Diceros bicornis minor: one gene and its partner. The protein of the gene in region 1 binds, or shares a complex with, the protein of each later gene. Links are inferred from orthologs where the notes say so. Each region holds a gene or a part of one and is shown in the gene's direction. Other genes may lie near its edges. The genes, in order: XIRP2 and NEBL.

What was found.
Region 2: the proteins of XIRP2 (region 1) and NEBL are in contact, whole or in part, in a crystal structure (PDB 4F14), measured with the Homo sapiens proteins. The link is inferred for Diceros bicornis minor from reciprocal best matches to the Homo sapiens genes XIRP2 and NEBL. Residues at the interface, in NP_689594.4 of Homo sapiens: Pro2420, Pro2421, Pro2422, Thr2423, Leu2424, Pro2425, Lys2426, Pro2427; in NP_006384.1 of Homo sapiens: Tyr963, Asp964, Tyr965, Asp969, Asp971, Glu972, Ile987, Asp988, Asp989, Gly990, Trp991, Met1004, Pro1006, Asn1008, Tyr1009.

Annotation. Positions count from the first base shown.
Region 1 is NC_080749.1:48,851,918-48,855,842, forward strand, and holds the start of XIRP2 (xin actin-binding repeat-containing protein 2), read left to right. Parts: upstream 1-1,789; coding exon 1,790-1,837; intron 1,838-2,379; coding exon 2,380-2,811; intron 2,812-3,925.
Region 2 is NC_080775.1:20,689,145-20,693,069, reverse strand, and holds the start of NEBL (nebulette), read left to right. Parts: upstream 1-1,095; 5' UTR 1,096-1,148; coding exon 1,149-1,229; intron 1,230-1,313; coding exon 1,314-1,385; intron 1,386-3,925. UniProt on the Homo sapiens protein: Binds to actin and plays an important role in the assembly of the Z-disk. May functionally link sarcomeric actin to the desmin intermediate filaments in the heart muscle sarcomeres.

The DNA of each region.
Region 1 (3,925 bases):
TAACTATACAAGGTTGTTTCAGAAACAATTCTTTCATTAGACAACCTTATGAGGTCACTATTACCAGCTGCGAAAATGTCTCAACCATTCCCTTGTTAATAAGATCTATTCTGAAGTCCATATACACATGAGACACAGACATTTCCAGCATGTGCTGATTAAATTCTCAACATATGCTGATCAGTATCCCAAACAGATATTCAGGTCTTGTTTTGTGCTACTGTTTTATTGAGACTTTCTATAATAAGTGACTAATCCAAACTTATTAATTAGCAATATTATTAGAGCCAAATTTTCCAGTCTGTCCAGTCTATGGATTTGTGGCTTAAAATACGTTCCTTTCTTCTCCCAACCACTTTTATCTAGTAGGCTTGTGTGTAGAAGAAATATTTGAGTGATCAAAATGATGTTATTTTAGCCAGAGATGGGGCTTGTAATGGAATTAACAGCTTTTGGCAGGTCTAATACACACTAGAAATTTTATATGCATTATCTAATGTGTTCTTCAAAATAAAGCCATGATGTATATAAATCCATTTTACCAATGAAGCTTTTGCAAGGTCACACAGTTAGTAAAACCCAACCTGGAATTGGACTCCTGCTGTAAGTATAGAGCTAGCCAGCAGTCCATGAACCATTAGTAGACCATTAAATCAATTTAGTGGGCAGCAAACCTTTTTTTAAAAGTGAAGGATACCAGAGTAGAAAATATCGCTAGACATTTCAAGTAGTAAGGGAAAGTATTGTTCAATGAAAACAAAAGTTTGTTTCTTTTGTATATATGTGTATATTTATTAATGTTGTATGTGCACTGTGTCCTAAAGCATAAAATGCTTTTTATAATGTGGTTTGCAGTCAAAGAATTCTGGAGCCATTGTATTAGGTGACCTTTTGAGATACTTCCAGGCCTTCATCTAAGTAAGGTTGTTTACCATACCCACTGTACTAATGCTTTTCCAGGAAAATGCATCATCTCTCAAGAGCAAAATTTATTTTTTAAAGCTCCAAATTTGCAACATAGAATCTCTGGGTTAGAACAGAAAGTAGCTCTTCCCATGGCAAAAATTCATGCTTGTGTGTAACTCTTGCTGCCTATGATTTGTGCGCATGATGTATATGTTTCTGATATGAGTACATTTTGCCATTTGATTTTTTTCTACTCACCACAAAACTCTAAAACAAGGTGAGATTCTAATCAGTTTCACAATGAGATGTGAATTGGACACAAAATACAAAATAGACATTACACTCCAGTGGTTGAGGGCAATTCTGGAGTCACACAGATGTATTTCAAATCCAGGTTCTGTCACTCAGGACCCTGGGCAAATTACTTCTCAATTTCCTTACCTGGAAAATAGAAATAGCAGCAACTAACTCATTGTGATGATGTTGGTATTAAAATGAGATATATGTATAAAGTTATTATCAAAGCATTTGCCTTATAGCAAAAACTTAATAACTGTTAGCTGTTAATCTTTTACTTCTGAAGTAAGACATTTGCAGAGACCAATAATTTCTAAGGAAGTCCTGAACTATTTCCGATAGGAAATGAACCCTTTTCTTGAGTGTTAGACTTGTAAAATTGCACTTTTCTCAGAATATACTAAACAATGAAAGAACATTGTTCAAGTTTTACATTGTAAGTAATTGTTCGCTGATTTAACATAGAAGGAAATGGGAAGAAAATCACATTTTCCTAGTTTTTGTCTCTTTATATTCAAATGTGCATGTGTTGGTTTGCAACCTTGTGGCTTCCTGGGTAAAATTCGAGACTGGCCCCATCCCCAACATGGAGGGCAAAGACAGACTGAAGAAAGAGGTAGATCACTCCAGATTGGTAGGTGGCAGTTTTAATAAGCAAGAGAACTTACATATGAGGCTTGTCTTGGGTGGCTGCAAGATGAGCAGATATCTGCACCTGCCTGCCAGAATCTTAAAACTTTATATAGAGGTCTCAACAGGGTTCAGTCACGTATTCAGTCCAGATGGTCTCAACAGCACATTACTCTCTCAAGGTTGGGTCCTTGAAATGGCTCCTAGTGTGGGAAGGGTGGGCAGAACGTATATTTCAAGGACAGGGGAGGGAGTGAGGAGGCTTCTATTGCTCGGTCCAGCTTCAGGGTCACCTGGCGGTCACGTCCTTTCGATGACCTCCTACAAAACCATAGCTGTACAAATCCGTCCTCTCCATAATCTGTCTAATTCTGGGTTAACTGACATAACTTTGTAGGGTCAAGTCAAGAGCCAGAAATTATATAGCAAAGCTGGATTTCTACATTGAAACACAAACCCCAAGAGCTAGCATTGCTAAACACAGCACTTTGCAAATGATTCACACGCCTGAATGTATCTTTGAAGGAAGGACTTTTGATATTGCAGGACAACCAGAAGCCGTCCGTGTTCCCAATGCAGAAGGGCTCCCTGAGCCTCCTGAGGCAGAAATGGGAATCCAGTGATTGCCAGAAAAGCGAGTGTTGTCCCACGGGCAGTCGTTGCAGGCTCTTCCAGCCTCGAGAAAGCAAATTGCTTGAACCTGAAGGAGAGGTAGTGTCAGCACCTAGACCTCCAGATCCAAGTCTGGCCCACAGTGTAGGAGAAGAAATGTTGAGCTCAGAGCCTGAAGAAAAGGGCCCTGAGGACAAGAGTGACATCTCCAGGGAATATGGCCGGCCTGAAGTGCTGAAGGGGGATTCCTTGAACGGTCGACGCAGGATCGAGCGCTTCTCCATTGCCCTTGATGAGCTCAGGAGTGTGTTCGAGGCTCCCAGGAGTGGAAACATCCCAGCCGCACAGGCTGAGTACAGCCGAAAGGTAAGGAGCCATTGATTGAGAGTTGAGGTTTATGGTTGACAAGCTAGGCAGCTTGTCTAGCCTGCTATTTATCTCTAAGCATGTAATGCTTTTTCCCTCACCTGTGCTCTAGACAGATGTCCTGAAGCACCTATGTAATATAGTATGAAATGTGGCACCCTCTGTTATTGACTTCCTCTGTGGTTTGTTCCGATGGGAATTTGACCTCCTTTCACTCCCGCAGAAATAGCTCTGATAGTCCCTCTTATGTTGATGTTTCTTTATGTACATGCTCTGTTTTCTCAACTAGGTTATAAGTTCCTTAGAGGCAGGGACAATTTCTTATCACTCTTTATACTTCAAATCTCTAACAAATAGTACTGCATTTAACTAGAGCTCAGTGAGGATTTATCAGCAATGATGGCAAAATGGAACAAGTGAAGGCTCTGGAACCACAATAACAGATTTTAATCCTAAAACCTGCCATTTATTTCTCTAGCTGCATGACACTTAACTTTTCAAATACAGACGTCTTAATCTGCTACTTAACAGGGATCTTGTGAAGATTATTGATAGTATATTTAAACCAGTAAGCATAGAGTCTAGAATATTTTGTGGTAGATGATCATGCCTCAGTGATTATGGTATACTATAATGTCACATATAAAATAGATCTATTAGCTAAAGAGAGTATTTAATCAAATCCAAGAAACAGAATTAGCAATATTATTAATGAAGACTACATTTATACTTCTGCTGCCAATTAAAAGCAACTATTGTTTAAACTGGAATTGCTTGAATGTTGTACACTCATTAGGGCCCCTACATAAGAGATTATGGTTGAAATTCATAAAGAATAAATGATCTCAGGTTTTCCATAGGGAAGCAAACTCCATGCTTTTTTAATTTTTTTACGTAGTGATAGTTATCAGGAAGGTGCAGTCTTACCCTTATTAATGGATAATTAGTCTTTATAAAGGATTCACAGAAATAGAAAATTTTTCAAAATAAATTATTTTGCTAATACTTGCTCCCGGTTTTCCTGTTGGGACATATATAGTAGTTACAATGAGGTCATGCTTATACATCAAATAACTCAACTTGGTTTAACGAGAATAAGGGATATGAAGTTATA
Region 2 (3,925 bases), on another chromosome or scaffold:
ATTATTCACTATAGGGTATTTTTTTTTTATTTATAAAGCTATGGCTTTATAAATATTAGTTTACCCTTGGATTTAAATAACCAAATTGATAAATTATGAGTTGCATAGCATCTTAGGATTGCCTAAATTGAAATTGAAGGACTTGTTTTATGAAATGTATTTTAATTGTATAACCAATGACACATGCTGCATTATACATATTGTTATAGTTAATTCTTCTAAACTTTTCCAAATGTGTAGTACATATTGAGGAATATGCAAATAACTAGTGAATTTGTAAAAATTGGCACAATGCGCAGAATTGAAAGAGGATAATTATTATTTTTTTGAAATGATGTTTCTAGAATTCTTAAGTGATATATCAACCTGTGTTAACTGCAACTTCTCATGTTTAATGATGTTTACAATTAAAATAATACAATAGCAATATAAGATTAACAGTCATGATTATCTCAGAATAGATTCTTTGAAGTGGTTCAAAGGGCTTTTCTTAATAAATTACTAGCGTTTAATCAGCTAATATGAGTATTTTTTAGAATGTGAAAAGTATATGTATGTCTCATAAAAATTTAATTTAGGTTAATGAAATGAGTTTGAATGATCCAGATTCACTATACCAAATCAGAAGAGGTATGTCTGACATTCCAGCGAAAGCTTTATTTAGATGGAGTTGAGGAATCTTTGAGATAACAGGCTGTGGACTCTGCTCTCTTGAGTGTTACAGCGGAGTAGTGTTCCCAGAATCTTTAAGTCTCTTTCAAGCTATTTTATGAATGAATTGAATTAATGAAGTATAAATAAATAGTCTCTTTGGGATTTCTTAACCAATTTAAAGAATGTTGACTTTCAAAGTTCGTAAAATTAAAATTTGCCTGTTAGAATGTTATTTCCACTTGGGAGGCTAGCTCTGGCCGAACTCTGCGATCCTGTTCCATCCACTCACACACAGTTGTGATAAGGAGAGTGAAGTGTGAGCTAAATGGGGAGGAGGCCTGGGCAAGGTCATTCTTGCCAGAACACCAGAGACTCTGAGATCTCAGGGTGCTGTAGTACATAGAAAGGTGCTACACTGGTGAATTAAAAAAAAAAAAATATATATATATATATATACACACACAAATATATATATATACATATAAAGAGTAAAAATGAAGGTCCCTGTATTCGAGGATGTAAAAGATGAAACTGAAGAGGAAAAAACAGGGGAAGAAGAAAATGAAGAAGATGAGGTGAGTGGGAAGGCACCTGCTGAGGAACAGTATGTGTTGCTTTAAGTTGATGATTAGAACAGTGTTTCCTTTTTTTCCGGGCAGGTATTCTTTAAGCCTGTTATTGACGACCTGAGGATGAAATTGGCCAAAAAATGCACCCAACTCATTAGTGATGTAAGTGGCTTAAGTAATGTTTGCCTTATTTTGCGTAGTGTGTGTGGCACTGTTATGTTGTAGAATCACAGAGCTGGGGAGAAAACCCTGAAATCACCTAGTCAAATATAATTATTTTCCAGATCATGGAGCTAAGTCCAGACATGGCAGGTGATTTCCTCAAGGTCACCCATGCAGAGAATTTCTGTGGGAGCAGTTCTCCATGTTCTTAATCCAGAATCCTGTCCCTTGTGGAGTCCACTGTCACTCTGGCATGAAATCATAAAACATTGAATTTCAGAGCAAGTTTGTTTGAAAACCCCAAAGCCTTTTAAAATTTATATAATGATAGAATTTGTTTGGGGGGGGATCTTTAAATGAATGATTTTTTTTTTTTTTAACATTTTGGAAACATTTTGAGGAATCTGATGAAAGCAACAGTTTTCCAAACCAGGAAAATGCTTATATCTATATGCATCTAACATTTATTTACGATTGAGGATTCATGGGTTACTGAACTGCATGTTAAGACCCTGAATGAGATGATGATGATATTAGTGAAAAGGAACATTTTTGTTGTGACTTTTTTCAGTAACCAAGATCAGTCTATATTATATTTCAAGGGAGTTCTACAATGATAGAATTATTTAACTCATATATATGTATATATTTATAGTAAATATGTAAACTAGAATTGTAGAAGCACAATGAAAAGTATTCCTCAGTAGGAATGAGAATGTAGATGATCCTCATTAAAACAGTTGCAAGAGAATTGCTGGTCCAGGGGAAAGATGGCTCACGAGAAGTGGGTATGTGCCTGCCATTTAGAGAGGCGAGCATGGTACTGGTTGTTTCCGTTGTTGGTAATAAACAAAGTGATTAGAGTATTTTAAAAATGTTTGTTTTCAAAGGAAGTCAGTCCTGGGCAGCAGGGTAGCGTGCTGGCATGTTCTCTGAAGTCCACCTGCCTGAGTCAACTTTGTAGTAACCGTGGGCAGGTTTTGTAACTGGCGAGACTCCATTCCTCAAGGGCAGCGTTTATAATAGTAACATTAAGTGATGGTAACACATCTGAAATGTTTAGTAAACTGTCTGGAACATTGTGAGTACTCAAGAAGTGCTAGCTGTTATTAACCCCTACATCTGTACATGACTTTTATATCCATCCAATCACGTTTTATGTATGACTCTCTGTTGCCCTCTGGTTTGTTGGAAAGAGCCAAAGGATGGTGGGAATCATACCCTTTCCCGTGTATTTGACATGTGATGTAATTAAATTTTAAATGAAGTATTTCTTTGTGCAGTTGCTTCATGTCATAAGCTACTGCATGTGAAAGTTCTTCATAAACTGTGGTAATAATAATAAAATGACAACAACAACAATAATATCAGCCACAGTTAAGATTTATTGAGTACTGTCTGCCAGGCATTGCAGCTTATGAGGTAGATTCTATTGTTTTTCCCCTTTTAGAGGTGAAGAAATGAAGGCTCAGAGAGGTTAAGTAACTTGCCTGGGTCACACAGTTAAGCAGTGGGGGGCAGGGCTTGAACACAAGGCCCTCTCTCTTAGCCGCTGTGCTGTGTTACCTCTCACTGTGATTTCCACGCAAAATGTATCTTAGCTTTAGTATTATTTATTACACTAGTATTAGTAATAGTAATGATACCGTTGAAAACCTTAAGTTTCATAACTCTAGAGATAGTACCTCCTCCAGCGTTGTTATATTTCACCGAAGTGTAGTTGTGGCTGAGCTAAATTATGTCATATAAATCATTAGAACTAAAGTAGCGACTTTAGTTAGTAGGTGATTTTGTTGGTGTTGTTTTGGTAACATTGTTTCTCAGTGACTATAAAACCAGCCTTGTGGTGAGGGTGATGGCCTTTACTATGTTGCAAAAGCCGGAGCCATGTTATTTGGCGCCCATGTAGGTGAAATCAAACAAGTGGGAGTAATTAAACAATGTTTATTATAAATTTATGTTGCGTGACAGAATGTCTGTACTACTTAAATATTTAAATCATATTTCTGTGGCCTAATTTATTTATATGTATGTACAAGTTCACATTTTATTTCCAAATGGAATTCTGTCTTTCTGAAGATACTGGTTTAATTTTTAGAATTTTTATATTTACCGATAAATAGTCTGAACAATTACTTTTTGTGTTTCTAACAAAAAAATGCAGAGTTTGTACTATCATTTTAAAAACAAATTTTAACTTACCCTTTCTGGAAGGACTTTGTGTATTAGACTAAATCAAATTTCAAGTTTTTAGAAGTTTAGTTAAAAAGTATTAAGTAATACCTTGCTGATTTATTCTCAGTGTCATCAATGTTTTTGCATGGAGCAGAAGAACTTGAATTTGTAGTTCATATGTCTATTATATTGTCTGCACGACTAGATGGTTGTCTAAGATGTGTATTTGAAGTTGTATCAATCACGGAGCTAAAACAGGTATAAAACAGGGGACGTATCACTGCACTAAGTTAGATGCAGTTCCAATCAAGACTACATTATACCTATGATGGTGCCCATCTATTGTGTCCCACATTTAATTCAGT